Ovis aries: one gene and its partners. The protein of the gene in region 5 purifies or fractionates together with the protein of the main gene of each other region. This does not show direct contact. Links are inferred from orthologs where the notes say so. Each region holds a gene or a part of one and is shown on either strand. Other genes may lie near its edges. The genes, in order: ACVR1B, RNF111, TGFBR2, USP15 and SMAD7.

The links.
Region 1: the proteins of SMAD7 (region 5) and ACVR1B purify together in Homo sapiens (affinity purification with western blotting; 3 studies listed by BioGRID and IntAct, with this or other methods). This does not show direct contact. The link is inferred for Ovis aries from reciprocal best matches to the Homo sapiens genes SMAD7 and ACVR1B.
Region 2: the proteins of SMAD7 (region 5) and RNF111 purify together in Homo sapiens (affinity purification with western blotting; 3 studies listed by BioGRID). This does not show direct contact. The link is inferred for Ovis aries from reciprocal best matches to the Homo sapiens genes SMAD7 and RNF111.
Region 3: the proteins of SMAD7 (region 5) and TGFBR2 purify together in Homo sapiens (affinity purification with western blotting; 3 studies listed by BioGRID). This does not show direct contact. The link is inferred for Ovis aries from reciprocal best matches to the Homo sapiens genes SMAD7 and TGFBR2.
Region 4: the proteins of SMAD7 (region 5) and USP15 purify together in Homo sapiens (affinity purification with western blotting; 3 studies listed by BioGRID). This does not show direct contact. The link is inferred for Ovis aries from reciprocal best matches to the Homo sapiens genes SMAD7 and USP15.

What each region holds. Positions count from the first base shown.
Region 1 is NC_056056.1:134,372,162-134,376,469, forward strand, and holds the start of ACVR1B (activin receptor type-1B), read right to left. Parts: upstream 2,812-4,308; 5' UTR 2,713-2,811; coding exon 2,622-2,712; intron 1-2,621. UniProt on the Homo sapiens protein: Transmembrane serine/threonine kinase activin type-1 receptor forming an activin receptor complex with activin receptor type-2 (ACVR2A or ACVR2B).
Region 2 is NC_056060.1:49,459,529-49,463,743, forward strand, and holds the start of RNF111 (E3 ubiquitin-protein ligase Arkadia), read right to left. Parts: upstream 2,809-4,215; 5' UTR 2,458-2,808; intron 1,929-2,457; 5' UTR 1,877-1,928; coding exon 1,872-1,876; intron 1-1,871. UniProt on the Homo sapiens protein: E3 ubiquitin-protein ligase. Required for mesoderm patterning during embryonic development. Acts as an enhancer of the transcriptional responses of the SMAD2/SMAD3 effectors, which are activated downstream of BMP.
Region 3 is NC_056072.1:5,138,012-5,141,978, reverse strand, and holds the start of TGFBR2 (TGF-beta receptor type-2), read right to left. Parts: upstream 2,802-3,967; 5' UTR 2,563-2,801; coding exon 2,469-2,562; intron 1-2,468. UniProt on the Homo sapiens protein: Transmembrane serine/threonine kinase forming with the TGF-beta type I serine/threonine kinase receptor, TGFBR1, the non-promiscuous receptor for the TGF-beta cytokines TGFB1, TGFB2 and TGFB3.
Region 4 is NC_056056.1:157,401,934-157,406,215, forward strand, and holds the start of USP15 (ubiquitin carboxyl-terminal hydrolase 15), read right to left. Parts: upstream 2,801-4,282; 5' UTR 2,790-2,800; coding exon 2,701-2,789; intron 1-2,700. UniProt on the Homo sapiens protein: Hydrolase that removes conjugated ubiquitin from target proteins and regulates various pathways such as the TGF-beta receptor signaling, NF-kappa-B and RNF41/NRDP1-PRKN pathways.
Region 5 is NC_056076.1:48,924,123-48,927,405, forward strand, and holds the end of SMAD7 (mothers against decapentaplegic homolog 7), read right to left. Parts: intron 2,486-3,283; coding exon 1,947-2,485; 3' UTR 504-1,946; downstream 1-503. UniProt on the Homo sapiens protein: Antagonist of signaling by TGF-beta (transforming growth factor) type 1 receptor superfamily members; has been shown to inhibit TGF-beta (Transforming growth factor) and activin signaling by associating with their receptors thus preventing SMAD2 access.

The DNA of each region.
Region 1 (4,308 bases), on a different chromosome or scaffold from region 5:
CCTCAAATGTCTCCCTTGCAGCTTTCTGTCTTAAGAAAATGAATGTCATGTTCTCCTGCTACTAATTCAGCTTTACATTGTTAAATGCTAAAGTGAAAATGCCAAAGGTAGGCCTTAGAATGTGGTCCACCTATTAAATGGATGCAGTTTATAACCTGGAATTCGCGCTCTGTACCACTGGCCTTTTACTAAGTTGCTACTAGTTCACTATTTAACACAGACACCTATCCCTTGCTTTCCTCACATCCTGTCTTCAGAGGCATCAGGGCTGCCTGGCCCTGCTGCTCCTCCCGGCCCACCTAGGGGAGCACGACAGAGGAAGCGTGGGGAGGACAGTAATCAACTTCTAGTTATCTCACAGCCTCTATGTTCCCAGAACTGATGCTTCACTTTAAGCCTTTTGCAACAGTGGTCTCTGTAGCATGCACTATTGGCAACGAGATGTGTCCCGGAAAAAACTGTAGTGTCTGGCCAAGTTTGAAGGCCTTCGAGAATGTTTGCTGGATACACAACCTAATTTCCAATTAACCAAAAAAAGAAACCAACTCCCTACTATGCCCACCCATCCTCATCCCAACAAACATCCATTTTAGGAAGGTTACCAAAAAAATGAACCTGTCCCATTCAGAACCAGATAGATCATCAATTAAACATTCTTAACTAGGCTCATGACAACAAGAAATATCCCACCAGACACTACACCAAACCAAGAGGGAAATGGCTGTTAAGAATTTCAGATACATTAGCAACAGGATAAAAATTCCTAAGGAAGAAATTTACAGATTTAGTCATACACATGTAAAATGACAAACCTGAAGGCTGAATCTCCTTATTTACTACCCTACTAGTGAAATAACATCATGATACACACTCCAAAAACATGGCCCCAAAGTAAGGCCCAGCATACATTATTCATGAAAATCATTAACTTACCACGAATGTCAGGCTGTGTTCACATACCTTCACCACATCTATCAGACCCCACAGCGCGTTACCTCTGCCACAGAGCAGCGAGATCCAGGAACACACACGACAGCCTTAGCAGAAGCATTAACCAGTGAACAAAGACCCCACCACACAGGCTGCACCACTGGAAACAAACATCAAGGCTGGAGGGAATGAACTTGTTTGTGAGACGCCAAAACGGGATCGCGTCTTTGGTTGATTGTCTCATTTCTGAAAGAGATCTGAACCCGCCTGAGAACCATTATTTTTTGGTGGAGAGAAGAGAACCACGGAACACACGCTTGATCTCGCGCTGCTAGAAGGTTAGGGGCTGCTGAGAAGTCAGAGCAGCAGGCTTTGCACATCGGGAGCAAAGACAGTCCTGACTGTCTCTCCCAGTTCCAACTGCGGGTCAATAATCACTCCAATATAAAGGCCAAATATAACCTTCATCTGCTACCCCAATGCCAGCACAGGGTTGAGACGACTCCCTTAAATATTTTAGGGTTTCATCTGCATTCCTCAAGCCCGTAAAGCCTCACAAACGAGACACTCAACTGAGTGTCCCACAGAAAGGCACCACTTTGGTAGTGAGAAGGATGGGGGTGCTGCCAGGGAGCAGAAGGCTGTGGGAGTTGGAAGGTGAGGGGTGTGCAAGGGTGGGGGAAGACGTAGGGGGAAGGGTTGGGAAGAGGGCTGGTGTGGGAAGGTAAATAAATCCTGACCAAGGGCCAACAGCTGGTCTGGTGGTGGGGTCTTTAAATAATCTTGGGGGTGGGAGGCAGGTTCCAGGATGTCACCTGAAAGGCATCCACAAAGTGACCAGCAGAATGGACCCCCTGAGGTGGGGTGGGAGTGGCGAGGGAGAAAGCAAATACACCTAGATGCAGATTAACCGTTCTGGAACTAGGTCTCCTAGGGTTAGAGAGATTCCAAAGCCAAGCTCCAGATAGGGGCCTGTTCGTCCCATTTCCTCCACTGAGCTTCCCCGGGGCATGTGGACTGGAGGAGGGGGGTTGGCCCCACTGAACTCAAGGGACTGCCCGAGAGGGAAATGTGACTCGCTTTCCCAGAACGTCAGGGAGGAAGGAGAGGGAGGGGAAGAAGCACCCCAACTGCAGGAGGGAGCTGACGGAAAGGTTGAAGACCCCCTTCCCCTTTTATCTATGGTGCGCAAGGGCTCTCAACGTCAGGATACCTCGGAGGAGCAAAGACCCCATCGCCGAAGCCCCACAATCTTGGCGGGAGAAAAGGCGCCCCCCCCCAACTCCCCCCTGGAGCATCTGGAGGGAGGGAATGAAGACCCCCGCCCCTGGACATGCTGAGCGGCAGAAACGTGGATCTCCAAACCTCGGGGAAGGAAGCCTGCACTCCCTTCCATGGAACATGGGGGTGCTGGGAGCGCGACCCTCGAGAGCTCCCCAGATCCAGTCCCTCCTGGGAAAGGGCTCGGGTCCCCAGGGGCCCGGCGTGAGCTCGGTCCCGGCGAGGCGGCCGCGCCTCGGGGATCGGGGGAAGCCGACCCAGGTGAGGGGTCCCCGCGACTCCCCCGCGCCCCCCGCCCGGCCATATTGTGCGCGTGGGGAGGGGGCGCGCTGTAGCCAGGGGCCGCGGCGCGAGGCCTCGCCCTCGCCCGGCCCGCTCCATCCCGGCCCCCGCCCCGCCCCGGGACTCACCCTGGATCCCCCGGGGCCCGGACCCGCCGCTGCCGGCAAGCAGGAGGACAACAAGGGGGAAGAAGGAGGAGGCTCCGGCCGACTCCGCCATAGTAACCGCCGCCGCCGCCGCCGCCGCCGCCGCCGCCGCCGCCGCCGCAGCCCAGCAGCGCCCAGCGCGCGCGCGCGCGCCCCCGGCGCCTCCCCTCCTCCCGCGGCCCGGCTCCCGCCTCCCTCTCCTCCACCCGGCGCCGGCACGTGCGCTCCCGGCGGAGCCGGCGCCGCGGCCGCCGCGCGCGCCCCCGAAGGGCGGGGCCGGGTGCGCGCGGGCGCCCGCCTTAAAGGGGAGTGTCCCCGTTAAAGGGGTGGGAGGGGCTCGCGCCTCGGCCAACCTCACCCGTGAGTGCCAAGCACGGCGCGGAGGCCGAGCCCCACACACGCGGCCTCCGCCCAGTTCTGCACCCCCAGCAGCGCGGCGTGATCTTATCAGCACCGACCCCCATCCCTCGCATAGAACGTTCTACGAGTCCCGTGCGCTTGTTCCCTTTTCCTTCATGCCTACTGCTTAGCCTCAAGCACCCATCACATCCCACTGGGATCGTCGCAACCATCTCCTAATTAGTCTCCCATTCCCAGTGGCCCCCTGCGATCCGCAGGACGCACAGCCACGTGTGTGATCGAATCATGGGATGCCCCTTCTCAGAACGTACAGGGCTTTTTAATGACAGTATTCAGTCTTGGTGAGGGTGCTGCGTGAAGCACTCCCGTGCTGTTGGTAGGTAGAAACCTTTTAGTAAACAACTTGGCATTGTGTATCAAATGTCTTAAAATGTTCATACCCCAGCCTCCCATCTTCAAGCAATAATAGAGATGAGGACAGGTTTTTGTGAGAAATGTTAACTATTACTTGTTTATCACTGTAAAAGCTGAAAACAAATAGTATAGAAAACAAATTATGTCCCGTCCATACGATGAAACATTATTTACTAATTAAAAATTATGTTTGTAAAAATAATGATGTGAGGAGATACTCATGAGATAATGCTAAATGAGAAAGCAAAATAGAAAACTACTTACAGTATTGTTCTGATTTTGTTGATACTGTATAACTGCAAGGAAAAAAGACTGATAGGAACTTAGTCAATATCTGAAGTTATCACCAGAATAATTTTTTTATTTTTTCTTTAAACATTTCAGTATTTTCTAAATATTTTGCAAATAAGCTACTGTTACTTTCAAATTTAGGGGGAAATGCTTATTAACGGTAAACTGAATCGCTCATATCTTTTTGAAAATATTCACTTTAAAAGAGTTTGAAATCATGAAAAGGACAGAGTTTTGGACCCAGAGTTCTGGATCTGAATTCTCGTTTTCTTACTAACTGGCATGGAAACTTGGGCAGATTTTTTAACCCCCATTAGCAGAGTCTCATCAAATGAGAATTAGAAGTGGAGAGGATGCCGAAAGGTGGGAGTGGGAAGGTGGAGCTTCTCAAATGGAATCCTCACCTTCAAAGCTGTTACCAACCTGAAGAATACCCCTCCTAATATAAAGAAAAAAACTAGGCTGCAGACACCCCAGACACCACTCACACACAAACACACACATGCAAAGTTTTACAGAGGCACTGTCTACACATTGATCAGTAACTGAATGATCAAACACCTTATTTTTATAGTGCTCTGCCTCTGTATATTCTTATAAGTGC
Region 2 (4,215 bases), on a different chromosome or scaffold from region 5:
GACTTTTACTGAACAATGATTACAGGTTTCTGAAAGAAAATGTATTCAGAATGATTTAAAGCACATTACCAGGAGTAAAATAAAGTTTCATTTTTTTTAGTATCATATGAGAGCTATTAAATTAGGCGTTAATATCTACAAAGGGACAGAAGTATTATTTAGACCACAGCTCACTCGCTTTTTTTCTTCTCCCTCCCCCCACCCCATCTCTAATATACATATACCATGGAAGAATTTTACATTTTCAGATAGCATTTCTTTCTGGGGAATGGGTCATGATGAATACAATTAATACTAAAAACACCTAACTAAAAATGCAAACCATTAAATTTGAGACCTGGAGAAAACTAGAGTTATCTGCCCCACACTTCTCATTTGACAGCTGAGAGAGATCTGAGGCCCAGGGTGGTCATACAAAGTCACAGACCTAATGAACAGAAAGCAAAGCTACATCTAAAATCCGTATCTCCTGTCTCCAACCCTATACTCTTTCATAAGATAATGTCACTCATAGAATGCTAATATCAAGTTATAATATTCTTTACATCATTTTTAGTAATGTCACTTCTTTTTTTCCTATTGAAATCCTAGTCACCAGAGGAAAAGTCAAAACAAGGACACCTGTAATTATACTCTAAGTAAAGCATGTTATAGAAACCCCTTTTTGACAAAATAATACAATAAACGTCTGAAAAAAACTAACTGGTTTGATTCAATCAAGTTTCTATTCCAGTTTACATTTTAAACTGAAAATAACTATTTAGAAATATCTGCTGATTATTCCTTCATTTTAAACAAGTAAATTGTTGACTTCTTATATTAAAGATCAGTATAGTTATTTTTCAACTACTTGCAGAAATTGAGTACTGATGTGAAACCTGTGAAGGTGAAACTTCCACTATGATGCATTCAAAACGAAATTATTTCTTACTTTATCTTTCTTCAAAAACCAACTCCAGTGAAGAACTAACATGCAAGTGACCGAAAGACACTAAGGGGGAAAGTGACAGAAAGATCCATACACATAAGATACAGCAACCCTGATAAACAAGAAGAGGCTCTACTCTTCCTAGTTTCCCTACAATATTATTCAGACCTATTCATAAATACCCTTGTCAGTTCTTAGAATACTAGTAGGAATTGTAGAGGCAAATAAATGCACAGGAGAGATGTCATTTGTCCAAGGTTAAAATGACAAGAGATGGACGAGAGTAAAACAAAGCAAGGCATTAAAAAATAATTAAGATTCTTTTCCGAGTGAAAGGGTTCTACTTGTTCTGTCTCATAAACACAACTAAACGCTATTGTTTGAAATGAAAAATAACTGCTTACACTGACATGAAAATTTTTACCAAAAACATACAGTAACAAAGTATCAAAATGTAGACTTTCACTCTAGTGAAATCAGTATTTTAAAACTTGTATGTGATATCCAAATCACATACTAACATTTGAAAGCAATGACAAAAAAAAAAAAAAAAACAGAAATGGGAAAGGAAATGGAACCTTAGTTATCTTTTTCCCAGTCTGTGCTTTTTGGTTAAAGAGATCCCTAAAACAAGAAAATTAAACATAAAACACCAAATGAAATAAAGTTTGGATTAAGTCAGGTACAAAAAGCGTTATGAACTATAAAATGAAATCTATGTCAGCTGGCATCTTATCTCCCCAGAGAGCTCTAAATTCATCCTGCACATAAATCAAGAAACAGGAAAGCATGCAATACAATGGAGTCACCCCACACTACAAACACGAACAAATTAAACGAACACCCTATACTTCCTGGTATTTTTTTAAATGTTAAAACTTAGACCTGAGTTAAGTTATCTGTAAAGATCTACTCTAACCTATTTAAGAACTATGTGACAAACCTCATTTCTGCAGCACAAATATTTCCACAACAACATTGCTACCGGCTCTGATAAACTCTGTAAAAAAAAAATAATGATAATAATAAAAATATTAAGCTTTTTTAATGGCCAGCCAACCAACTCTTTACAAAATCTGACGCGTCTGTATTTCTGCTGTTCTGCGGTCTACGTTTCCTTGATCACAGAAGGAGGCAACTCCCTAACCGTCAGGGCTGCCTTAGCGCCCTCCAACTCCCCGGGTGCGGGTTACCTTCATCACTCCATTGTCAAATCGCACTCCCACGCCTCAGTCCTCAGCCCCTGTCCTAAGACTCTAGAGAGTCAAAAAGGGGAAAGAAATCCCCTCACCCACCGTCCTTTACTGAGGAGGGTGGGTGTGTCTGTAGACGAACGCTCTGTCAAACACAATTAAATCTTCCGCGGAAACCTCGACCCTAAGCCACAACGGAGCCAGCAGTAACCGGCCGGCCGCCGACCCCAGCCTTCCGCGGCCGCAGCCCTTCCTCTTTCTCCCCTCCAGCCCGGCCCCTCCCCCGTTGCGCGCACGCGCGGCCTCCAATCGATCCCCTCCCCCCGGCCCCCTCACCTGAATCATTAGCCACCCTCTTCCCAGGCTCTGGGAATCGCTGGCCCAGGAAGGAAGACAGGAGATGTGAGCGGGGAAGAGGATGCGTCGAGAGCCAGTGATCTGCGCCTCAGATGTTGGCCTAAGAGGCCCCTACGGTCAAGAGCAGCGTCTGTCACCGCCACCAAAACTGTACCAGCGGCAGCGCCTGGTTCGGCCCAGCTGACCCGGCTTAGGGTCAGAATGCCTAATTTGGTCCCACGGGAACTCGTTCCCCGAAACTGCGGGCGTTTCTATGCTGCGCAGACCGAACACCTCGCCACCGTCGCCGCCACTGCTGCTGCTCTCCAGTCGCCGCCGCCTAACCAATCCCTCCTCTACCGAGGAAGCACGACACTCAAAGCTTTACGACAGTTCGCAAAGTGAGAGCGCAGTAGCCTTCAATCCTCCATTAACATCTGTTTGTTTCTGCGCTTGCTCAGATGCCTGTTTCTCACCGTCCGGCTCCCTCTTCGCTGGCCCTCCCCCTTTGTACTCGCCTTATCAGTCTGTTGCCGAAACCTAACGAAGTCCTAAAGCTCGTTTTATGTTCATTTTTGAAATGCGTTCAGTATTAAACAAAATATTGACTACATCTTGGTTGATTTTTTTCATAACTGAAAGTTACAACCACAGAATTAATAACTATACTTAAGGTAATGAACAAAAACGCCATGGTTTAGTCTGTCACAGCAAATGGTACTCAAATCATCCTTACCAATGAGATCATCACCGTTGAGGTGAATTTGCTTTCAAAATCAGATAAAAAATGGTAATAGATATCCTGGGAACTAACTGTACAATCATATACGTTTTCTTATTTTATAAAAATCAGGAGACAACAGATGCTTCATTACTTGCATTAATAGGCTGTAGGCAAAAGGGATGTAGGCCTTGGAATCAGTAAAACTTCCTTTCAAATTCCAGTGAGTGAACTTAGAGGTTTGGGGAAGGGGTTGGGAATAGGGATAGATGGGGCGTTTGGGGTTGACATGTACACAGCACTATCTGTAAAATGGATAACCAACAAGAACCTACTGAATAGCATAGGGAACTCTACTCAATATTCTGTAATAACCTATATGGAAAAAGAATCCATTCAGTTCAGTCACTCAGTCAAGTCCAACCCTGTGACCCCATGGACTGCAGCATGCCCAGCTTCCCTGCCCATCACCAACTCCTGGAGCTTGCTCAAACTCATGTCCATCAAGTAGGTGATGCCATCCAACAATCTCATCCTCTGTCATCCCCTTCTCCTGCCTTCAATCTTTCCCAGCATCAGGGTCTTTTCCAATGAGTCAGTTCTTTGCATCAGGTAGCAAAAGTATTGCAGTTTCAGCATCAGTCCTTCCAATGAATATTCAGGACTGATTTCTTTTAGGATTGACTGGTTTGATCTCCGTGCAGTCCAAGGAACTCTCAAGTCTTCTCCGACACTACAATTCAAAAGCATCAATTCTTCGCACTCAGCTTTCTTTATGGTACAACTCTCACATCCATACATGAGTATTAGAAAAACCATAGCTTTGACTAGATGGACCTTTGTTGGCAAAGTAATGTCTCTGTTTTTAAATATGCTGTCTAGGTTGGTCAAAGCTTTTCTTCCAAGGAGGCTGCAGTCACCATCTGCAGTGATTTTTGAAAATTAAAAAAAAAAAAATTCGGTGATGAAAATAGCAGGTGTCTAATTGATTTGAACTTTGTAAATCTGTCTCCAAAAAGAAAGGAAGGTCGGGGAGA
Region 3 (3,967 bases), on a different chromosome or scaffold from region 5:
TTGATAATGCAAATGGAGACCATGTAGCAGGCATGCTGGTTCTACAGACAGCAGTGTTTCAAGGTGGGGTGCTGCCCTGAAAAAAAGACCAGGCATCCAAAATGTGATGAGCATCTTATACAAACCGCAACTGCTTAAAAATAAGATGTCATTAATGCAAGTGGCCTAGAGGTAAGAAATGTGCTTTCTGGGAACAAAAGCAAATAGACCAAATTCTAGGCCTAGTGGTTTCCAGAACCCTGACAAAATCAGCAGTGATTTGGGAAAAGAAATTTATCTGTACTGACATTTTCATCCACACTGAGTCCTCAACAAGGATATCCTGTTAGGTATTTGAAAAGTAAAAGTTATATTTTTCAGATCTGAAGAGTTTTCAGACATTTAAAGTTGTCCCCCAAAGAGCAATTACTTAATTTGAGGCATTTCGGATAAGTGAGTCTACTAAGTCAAAAACAAAAACTCAGATACCTTTAAGCATATAGCTTAGTGAAGTTTGTCCGTGCACTGAAATCCTTGGCTCACCTGTCAATATCCTAAGCATAAGATGGAATTTTTTTTTACGTAACCCAAAAGAAGGCTATAAAAAAATCTTATTTCTTCCCTAACTATGCATTAAGATATACTGAAAAAATGTCATGACAGGTTACTAATTATGTTAGGAAAATCCTGAAACCACTGACGTCCATGGAAAATTATATACAAGTGGAATTAGGTTGCCTATCTTGATTACAGCTACCTTTGACCTTTAACTATCTTCAAAAATTTAACTTCAAATGAATACCAATTACAAGGGTTAAACCATTTTGTGGCTTTAATTCCATAAAAATATGAAATCTGTGGGTTTTGTAATGCTGTTTAAAAGCCCAAATAAAAAGCCAGTTGGCTTTTAAGCTAATTGTTTAAAAGTGTGTATATAGATGAACTGAGACTGACTCATGAACTACTGGGTCTGGAATTTGCAAATCATAAATCTGATCCTTGTAAACAAACCTGAGCAGAATCAGGGCCCACTAATTTCCTTCTTTCATAAATTGAAACAAAAGTTTTAATCATTTCTAATGTAAACTGAAAACTAAGGGTGCCATTTAAAATATTAGCAAAATATAACTTGGTTTTTTAAGAGTCTGGAGTATAATCAGAGAGTCAAACATTCTGGTACTGCAATGCGAGAAAGCACCCAAGAATAAAACAGTGGACTGTTAGTAAACCGTAGATCTCAAATTTGTGTTAGGATCTTTTTGTTTACAATATTGCTTCTTCCTCGTTCTATTAAAAACTCCCATCTCCATGCCACCTTCAGCATAAAACATCATTCTTGAAAGCTGTCCGTCCGCTTCAAGGACTAGGGAATGTCCCGTGTAGGAACCCCTCCCCATTTCTTCCAGATGAAACCAAGCGTGCTCTGCCTCTGGCCCTTGGTAAACAGAATGTGTCCTCGAGAGGGCAGGGGGCTGTCCGACCCTCCACATTTCATCCCTGCTCCCCGCGGGGCATCTCCAAGTCATCAAAAGCAAGGAGAGAGACACAAGACGATAAAGATGAAGGGAGCTAAAACGATCCAGACCTAACCGCGTCCTTCCGCACACGAGGAGACTGAGGCCCACGACGGTCCAAAGACTCTGGGTCTGTTACCAGATCCCAGATGCATATACTCAGGTCTGCAGCTACGCGTTGCAAAATTTCTAACTGTCGAGGTCTCAGGGGTTGGATACTTTTCATAACAAATCCTTAAGAGCGCAATTTCTGCATTTTCCTCCCCTCAAAACCCTCTAGACATCAAGATCAGGTGGGCAGGGGTATTTAAGATTTTAACCCCTCTGTTTCCACCAAACCACTGCAGAGAGCCTTCAAGCCCGAAGGCGGGGCTGTCCTGCTCCCGGCAACATCTCAGGCACCCAGCACCTAGCAGGCAGTCGGTAAACACTCCGCCTTCCACCTGACAAGCTCCCCCTCTGGCCTCATCCATGCCTACCCCAAGTGGAACCAGACAAGTTTCCTTTGGCAATCGCTCTCTTCCTCGAAACTTTGCTAAAGTTACTCCGGGCCAAGAGGCCGGTCCGGAGGCATGTGACCCTGGGAAGGAGCAGAGAATGGGGGACCCTGCCCTCTCGGGGCGCTGGGCCACCCCAGGCCCGGACCAGGTGTGCCCGCCGCTCACTCCGCGGCCCGCCGCGTCCTGCCTCCGCCGATCACCAACTTCTCAAACTTCCCTTTCCGGGGGTGGGGGCGGCCCGGGACGCAGCGCCCTTCCTGCCCGCACAAAGGGGACCGGGCGCCCCGCGCGCCCCCCGCCGAAGCCACTTTCCTGGCCTTGGGAAAGCAAAGCCCACCCGTCCCAGCACAAGGCACCGGGGCACGGGGACCCAGGCCGCGTCCCGGCTTCGGCCCGCCTCCCAGGCCGACTGTCAAGCGCAGCCCGGCGGGGACCCGGGGACCCCGGCGCCAAGTCCGGGCGGGGAGCCACTCACCCGACTTGGGAACGTGCGGCGGGATCGTGCTGGCGATGCGCGTCCACAGGACGACGTGCAGCGGCCACAGGCCCCCGAGCAGCCCCCGGCCCATGGCAGCCCCCGCCGCTCCGCATAGACCGGCCCGAGCGCGCACGCCGCGCCTCCGCGCCCTCCGCACCCGCGCGGGCGCCCAGCAGCGGTGCGGCCAGATGTGGCGGCGCGGGCCGCGGGGAGGCGGCGGCGGGCGAGGCGCGGGGGGACCCGGCGGCCGAGGGGAGCGGAGCTGGAGGCCGGCCCGGCCGGCGGGTGCGCGCGCGGAGTGTCGTCGGGCCCGGCGTGCGAGTGACTCACGACTTCGCCCGGGCGCCGCGGGGGAAACAGGAAACTCCTCGCCAACAGCTGGGCAGGACCTCTCGCCGCCCGGAGCCTGCTCCGCGGCTCGGCTCCCGGCCCTCGCCCTCTCTCGCAGCTGCCAATCACGGCCCCGGGACCGGCCCCTCCGGGGCTTTGGCAAACTTTCAGCGGCCCCTCGCTGCCCTCCACGTTCCCCGCCCCGAGGACTGCTGAGCAATAAGCGCACAAGTTCCAGAAAGTCACTGAACGCAGGGTGTATGCGCACTCTCCAGAGCACCCCCAGCAAGCATCCTCCCACTTCCCTACATCCCTCTTCGGGCTGCTCCGAAGTGCCTCAGAGCGGGGTTTTCAAACTTCGAGTGGCTACCCAAGAGTAGATGCTGAAATCCGAGTTGTTAGCACAAGCTGTTTTTCCCCTACTAAAGTAGTATTTCCTCATTAGACTTTCGTTTCAATTAATTGTGTTTGCCTACCTTGTCACATTGTAAAATATTTATCTTTACTGCAGGTGGAACACTTCAGTGTACCCACGGACCCCCTGAAAATCGTGTTAAAAGGCGGCTTCTGCTTCAGCATGTCTTAAGAGGCAGCATTTCTGATGAGCTCTTGGGTGATGCCTCCCAGTTGGAATCGACTCTCTCTCTGGCAGTGAGCAGTTACTAATACAACCCATCACGGAGTGATAACTGTAAGGGGAAGTGTTATCTTCAGAATGTATCGGGTAGGGCAGAAAGTGTGAGAGTAACAGTGGCCTGGGGTCAGCTAAGTGCCAGGGTCTGTGATAGGACAGGACCCTGAGCCCCTCCCTGCAAAAGGGGACATGGGTGAGAGCAGAACAGGCTGAACTTCCAACTTCCCCATCTTGGTAAGGTGGCCAGGTTCGCCCCCACACAATCCTGGTGTATATTTGCTTCAAAGTTGAATTTTTAGCAGGCCCTGCTTCTCTTTCCCATGTGTCCTGGTTAGATATGCTCACCCTACTTCTAGCCCTGAAAGATTTAGATTCAGTACAGCCCTCTGGTCAGGAGATCTTCCAGCAGGTTGCACAATAAAACTCTTTTATCTGAGAGAAAGCTTGTTTGCAGAGGCCGGTGGCCAGCGTTACTGGGAATAAAGGCAACTAGCTCTCCCTGGAAACCCAACCCTGCCATCTTCCCTGTCAA
Region 4 (4,282 bases), on a different chromosome or scaffold from region 5:
GTAAGAGGCAGTCCTTTTCTGCAAAGTGCTCACAACCTAATTAATGATCTTTACTTACTTGAATGTATTTGACTATAACATGAAATGTTACTATTAACATTTCAAGAATAAACTCATGGTAAATCTATCATTTTTTCTTAATAGTCCAATCAGTCTTTTCAAGTTGGTAACATACATATGCCAAGAAAATGTTTCATTTGCATACGGCCCATTTCAGCTATTAAAAAACAAACATAATTTGCCCACCCATAAATGACTAACCCAAGGCTTTTTTAAGACTTTAAAAAGAGAAATAACTGTTTAACAAGTTTTAATGAGTACCAAAAACATGAACCTAAGCGACAACTAAACCATTAAATATCTTTACGAATTCTGTACTCATGAACACATTATCAAATTCATACTTAAATTATTCTCCTTAAAATTCTGAATTAAACTTTTGCTAATTCCTTTTTTGATAGGTTTCACTTGCTAATTCCAAGTAAACTGGCTCACATATAAACCAAATTAGTTTCTGGAGCATCCCAGTACCATCTTTTCCTGTATTTTTTTCCTGTAAATGAGAGGGGAAATCAATTGTGAGGATAAAAGTTTGCATATTCTGCTGTTAATTAAATGTCTGGGCCTCAGTTTTCTTTTAAGATGGAAGCACTAAAATGCCTCAAATTTATGAACTTCCTGTATTTACTCTTATAAATATCAACAGATCTTTAAAATGATTTACAGTAACTTTGTCAAAAATAAAAATGCTAAACTTTAATGGTCACAATATCCATACTGCTTTGGTCATCCTTTATGGTTAACACCACCAATTATTACTCAGTATATCAAAACCACAACAACAGTAACAAGGAGTAATATACATAAAAGTAATATCTATATATTAAATTAAATAGCATCACCAACTCAATGAACATGAGTTAGAGCAAACTCCAGGAGACAGAGAAGGACAGGGAAGCCTGCCGCACTAGAGTCCATGGAGTCACAAAGAGTCAGACACAACTTAGCGACTGAACATCAACAAATATATTAAATTGTAGACTTGTATTTCATGAAAATCCACATTTACCTTTGTATAAGGTGGTATTAGGCAAGGTAAATTAAGAATGTTAAAATGTTCTTTAACAAACAAGAAGAAGGATTGATTTCATTTTTTACAATTCACAGGAAAAGGTAAATAAAAATGTCCTAGGAAATGTCCAATTTCCCCAGTAATTAACATCATAGGAACACTCCCTTATGAACAAAATGATTATTAAACCATATTTTTTGCTGTAATCCAACACGTATATGTTTACACTCAGGGATTTTTAATCATATAAAACTTACAGTGTGGCCTAACAAAATAAGAAAAAGTACCAAAACTTGGACCAAAGTATTTAAATTCAAGTCCCAAGTCTGTCATCTACTAGCTTACTTGACAGTGATTCTAGCTTACTTGACAATGATTCTAATACCACAGCATTTTAACAGAAATGGTGGTGATAAGAAGGTAACTAAAACTTAATGTTATATCAAGGCAGAAAATCTTGTAGACTATTTCACTGAATCAGGATAAACCCCTAAATGAAATTATTCTGTCCATTTCGTAGATGAAATCATTGAGATGCAATTTGAATTAACTTTCCTCAAAGTCACACTGCAAGCTAAGTGGTGGAAAGGCTAACCTAACGAGTCTAAATCTTACCCTCCTTCCACTAAGCCATAATGAGGAAATGAAAAAACACGCTGCATATTATACACAACTGTTATGGTGACGATGGAAAAGTGAAAATAACTTTTATTATAATAAAGAAGCACATGATCCTTCCTAATGAAACAGAGCATTTTAGGTTACATATTCACATACTTAAGTTATTTTGATTACCACTTGATATGGCCCACAAATATTAAAATCTACAAATACTTCCTTCGATATTTTAAGTATATCCCTTGGTATTTTATAAGTTTGAATGTTAGCAAGTGACTGAAGCTTCAAGTGGACTTATCTACTTCTTGCAGGCCTAACTTATCCTTCCAGTGAGAGGGAAGGACTGCACTTCTAAGAGAAACGCTGCTGGCGTCTATCAAGCCTCCACTAAAGCACAAGACCACGTGGTACCACTCAGAAGCCTAAGGTTCAGTACTCCTCTCCCTCCTTTTGACAAGGAACTAGGAACTAGGTTCCTTTCTCTTAAGCGGCGCCCTGACACATGCCACCTGTGTAGTAAGAACCGCAAACATCCTGCAGCCGGCCTCCCGGAAGAATACGAGAATCAGAATAGGGGAACTTGGATGCCGACAATGCAGGGAAAGGAAATGACTAAAGAAGTGAAGCGGGTGAGATCGTGATTAGCCGCGAGACCAGGACCTGTCAAACATTAAGTGAGAGTCTCACACTGAACGAGAGTAACCTATCGTTCGGGAAGGCCTGAAGTGGGAGCGGCACAACCAGAGGAAGAAGGACAAGGAGAACCGCACGAGCCGCCGCCGCCGCTCCCCGCAAGCCTTTCAGCATGCCTCGACGAGCCATGAACCGTGGCCCTCATTTCGGGTCCAGTCTTTGCCCCAACCTTGCGGAAGCGGCCAAAATCCTGCTGCCTGAGGCGGCCGCCGCCGGACCTGCCCGCACCTGTCACCAGCGAGACACCAGCCCGCAGTTCCCACCGAGTCCCCCACCATCTTCGGGCAACCGCAGCCACCTCAACCTCTTTCCCTCACCAGGTGTCCCCTTTCCGGAGCGAGGTTTTGAGCAGCGTCGCGATGTCAGACCGCTGGATGTCCAGATCTGCCGCTCCGCCTTCCGCCATCTTCTTCCACTAGCGGCAGCGGAGGCGGCAGCGACGGCGGCGGCACGCCCCAGAGCATTGTGGGAATGGCGTCCCGCGGCCCCTCCCAGTCGGCAGGTCGAAACCAAACGAGACGTAAGGCGGGGGGGGGGGTGCGCCTCCGGACCGGCGTTGGCCCCGGGCGGAGTGAGTGCTCCGCCGTGGTCGGCTGCCTCGCATCGGCCCCCGCCCGTCCAGCAGCTCGCCTCGGCCTCCTACGACCCGGGAACGCCTGGTTTTAACTTTCTGCTGTGGGGCCTGGATCCTGGCTCATTTGAGCGGTGCCACCGCCCTGTCCATCCTGCCTTCTGCCGTCCCCTCCGTCTTTCCCACAGACGCCTGAAAACCCTTATTTGCGCATTCACTCACGCTTGAGGGTGGGGCGGGGCGGGGGGCGTGGGGACGGCTGAAATATGGCAGAAAATTTGTAACAGGTCTGTGACTCGAGTCTCTCCGTTGCGAGTCTCAGAACCTAAACTCGGTGAAGATTGGGCCAAATCTAGCGACCCGAAGCCGAACGCTTAGCCGCAGCGCTCTTTCTGGGCTTTCTTGCGCTCCTACTCCTGCTGTAGGTGGAGACCTTTTATAGGCTCTTTGTGACGCCTCCCCAGGCACACCCAGATAGCTAAGCTGCAGTGAAAAACATGTTCCAGTTCCTCGGTGAACAAGGTGTAAAATATGTATCGAATAGTGCCAGGTACTAAAGTAAAGGAGCCAAAACAGGCAAGAAACCCATTCTCCTAGATACTGTGAAGTGACGTATTCCTAGCCACACCTTCCCATGGTGTGTGCACTTGAAAGTAGCTAATACCAGCAATTAGTTGAAGCCGATTATGTCAAAAAGGGGAAAATCGAGTCTCAACAATCAAATGCCAAGGTCACACAGCAAGTGGAGAGGCCAGTTTATAATCCAGCTTCACGTGCACACTGGCTCGCTGTCCAGTATAGTACACTAATTACCACTCCTTCAGCTCAGCTCAGTCGTGTCCGACTCTTTGCGACCCCACGAAAGCCTAAACTAACATAGAAACTAGGCTGCACTAATTCATTTAAAACAAACAAAAAACAACCCCTTTGTACATCTAGTGGCTAGCGCTTTGTACACCTAGTGCTGCCTAACAAGAATGACCTAAATATGTGTTTCAGAAATGAATTGTGGCAAAACTGCGTAAGTAATTCCAAGCATGAAGATGTCCAGCGATTTGACTGTAAGATAACATGATGTGAAAAGTCTAAAGGATGGATAAGAATTCCAGCATGATCTCTCGTTTAATTTTCAGCCTCTATGCTAACTCATTTGGTGGGAATGCAGAAAATGGGTGTAATATACTAATAAGTGTTGAACCCTTCCAAGTCAGGGTAGTATAATTTGTGTGTATCAGCATTAGGATTGCTTTTTTTTTTTGAAGTAATACTATTTTGTATTCTTGCATCCTTGATTTGAAAGTCTGAAAACAGCTTCCAGTTCCTGCTGT
Region 5 (3,283 bases):
GACCTCCACCCACTACCACTGAGCCCCCGCCTCATCTCAACCCCAGGGCTTCAGCCCTCAGGGAATCTGTCCTGGAACCCAGGGTGGCAGTGACCTTCCTCTGGGAAAGTTGCACTAGTCTCAGGATTTAATGTAAATCGAGGCGTTAACAAGCAGGAAGCAAGGGGCCCAAGCGCTTGGGGCTTTACCTCTCTCAGGGCAACCTCCTCCCCGTCATTTGAGATGACATCCCCTTTTCTCAACTCTTCAGGCTTTAAGAAATCAGCTGCCCTTGCAACTGAGGGCTCCCCAAGGTTGACCCGTTACAAATTGAGGACATCTGCCTAAGGATCTGAGAAAGACCAAGCGGTTCTGGATGTCTCTCCCTTCTCTGCTTCCCCCGGCCAGGCTTCCTCCCCCACCAAGCTCTGGGAGACTCCCAAGAGTCCTGGATTCTGATGGCTGCATCCCACCCTCCCCCCGTCAGAAGAAAAAGGAGCTGGAGGACAACATGGAATCAAGTATACATTTTAAAAACTGTTTAATGGAACATAAACTCCTTTAGAAAAACATTCAGCCAGGTGATAACACCCATAGAAAAAAACACCAATCTTGTGTTTATCTTTTTTTAATTTGGCATTTGTTATTTGCATTTATATTAAAGCAAAGTGCATCTTTTCTTTATTTTGTTTATACACATTGCACAATACATAAATAATGATGCTTATAAAACGTCTTTATATTTACAAGTAATAATATATTTATATATAACATAAAATACATTTTTTCTTTAATAAATCTCAGGGTTTTTTTTTTTTTTCAGGAGTCCTTTCTCTCTCAAAGCACTACAATGCTAAATTTCCAATGAGAATGCTTCTCTTGTTCATTTAAACCTTTGTAGTTAGAAAAATAGCTTATGTTAAAGTCTAAACATGCTCATTGAGCTAAGAGCAGTGTCAACGTATCATACGAGTGTATGAGTTGGTTAGGCGTCAGCTCAGGATGGTACCTTGGGTTAAGATGGACCGACTCCTTCTTGGTGGGAAGGGGTAGGGGGTGGGGGGTAGAGGGCTGCTCCCCTCGCTGGTCTAACAGCGGAGCTCAACACAGGCTGCGGAGGGGAGGAAAGTGCTGAGCTGGCTTTGTGAGTCCAGGAAAAACCTGATGTAACCAGGGCAGGGGAGAGGCGGAGGGGCCTGAGAGGGCGCTGGGTGAGCAATACTGTGACGGGGCTGCCCCGGCAACCCTTGGGAAGCCCATCCCAGAGATGTCCAGGAGCAGATGGCCGAGACAGACAGCTATGACGATGGCAGCGGGGTGGCCAGAGGGGAGTGAGGCAGCAGGAGGAAACGGGTTCTGGTCCGGCCTCTGGTGGGGCGGCTTCGGAGAAGCCTTCGGACAGGCCAATGTCCGAGAAGGGGCAAGGCGGGGTGGGGGCTTCCCCAGGCTCTGGGGACAGAGCCTTCTGCTGGGACACCCGCTGCCCCACTGAGCCTGTCCAAAGGGCAAAGGAGACACAAACCTCTCAGCAGGCAACACGCGTAGGAAACAGAGCACACCACTTTCCCTCGTCTACATACGTGCACGCACAGACGCACTGACGCACGCACACCCCACCCTCTGACAAGGGTAGTGATGGCCCCAAGGGTGGGGCCTGCTCCCCATTTACACGGTATATGGTGGTGCTGATTTTTTTGCTTCCCCTTTTTCGTATAGCAGTGTTCTGCCAACCATACCACTCTCCGCCCCTCCAAACCCCAAGAATTCTTTTCATAAGCTATTTCTCAAAGAACAAAACAACATAAACAAGGACGACGAGAAGGAGGGTAGGCGGTGGGGGGGGGGGGGGGGGGGGAATAATGACCAAAGAGTTTGCATGAAAAGCAAGCACTCAGGAGGGAAATATTAGCAGCAAAGTAGTTTGGACTGGGCCCGCTCTGCCCCCGCTCTGCCCTCTCCCCGCGTGGCTACCGGCTGTTGAAGATGACCTCCAGCCAGCACGGGCAGCTGCTGATGAACTGGCGAGTGTAGCACTGGCCCCAGCCCTTCACGAAGCTGATCTGCACGGTGAAGCCAGTCCACGGCTGCTGCATGAACTCGTGGTCGTTGGGCCGCTGCAGGCTGTACGCCTTCTCGTAGTCAAAAGCCTTGATGGAGAAACCGGGGAACACTTTGTGTACCAACAGCGTCCTGGAGTCCGGGTTGTCCAGTGTGGCTGACTTGATGAAGATGGGGTAACTGCTGCGGTTGTACACCCACACGCCGTCCACTTCCCGCGTGAGCTGGATGCCACAGCCGATTTTGCTCCGTACTTTCTGCACCAGCTGACTCTTGTTGTCCGAATTGAGCTGTCCGAGGCAAAAGCCATTCCCCTGAGGTAGATCATAGAAGATGTCCAGGGAGGGCTCCTGGACACAGTAGAGCCTCCCCACTCTCGTCTTCTCCTCCCAGTATGCCACCACGCACCAGTGTGACCGATCCCCAGGCTCCAGAAGAAGTTGGGAATCTGGAAAACAGACAGAAAAAAGGCAGACCTAATCAGTGGTGATGCAGACTGGCCTTCTCCTCTTCCTCCTGAAACCAAGACACACACATACATACACCCCCATGATTGGTCTTTGTTTCGGTGCAAGACAGGAGGAGGTATGAGGTGGCTGGCTGTGATGCAGGCTGGACAGTCCTCCTACGGGGAGTCTGGAAAGCTCGACCCCGTGATGGAAAAGCCTTGCCTCTATGCACGGGGCTCACTGGGGAGTCTCTTCCCTTCATCCCCCCCATCCCCCCGACTCTATCAAGAACACAGGACATGTGCCCACCTGGCCAAAGCCAAAGCCCCATCCTTGCAGAGCCCAGAAGCAAAGACCTCTCAGTAAGTTGGCTGGCCCTGGTTTTAGGGCTAGAGAAGGTGTTATACATGGATGGTCCAGAATTTCAGTTCTTTTCAACGGGATGGAACCTTGAAGGCCAGAGGCTCCAGCCTCAAGTCATCCTCATGAGAAAACCTGGACTCAGAAAGCTTTTTTTCTCTCAGGCTCCAGGGACGAAAGAGCCAGACCTGGACCCCAGGAACACCTGCTAGAGTCTCTGAGCCTGTCACCCGGTTCTCAGATCAGTGCCTTGGTCATAAGGGATCACTGTCCAGAAAAACTTTAGTGGAGGTGGTTTAGGGTGAAAAAAAACAACTAGCTTCTTAATAGAAACACAACTTTCAGCGTGTTCGTCAGCAGCAGATCTGTACACAAAGGGTGAGTTCACGTCTCCACGCCAAATCACAGCATGCACCCTGGTGTCACAGCCCAGACAG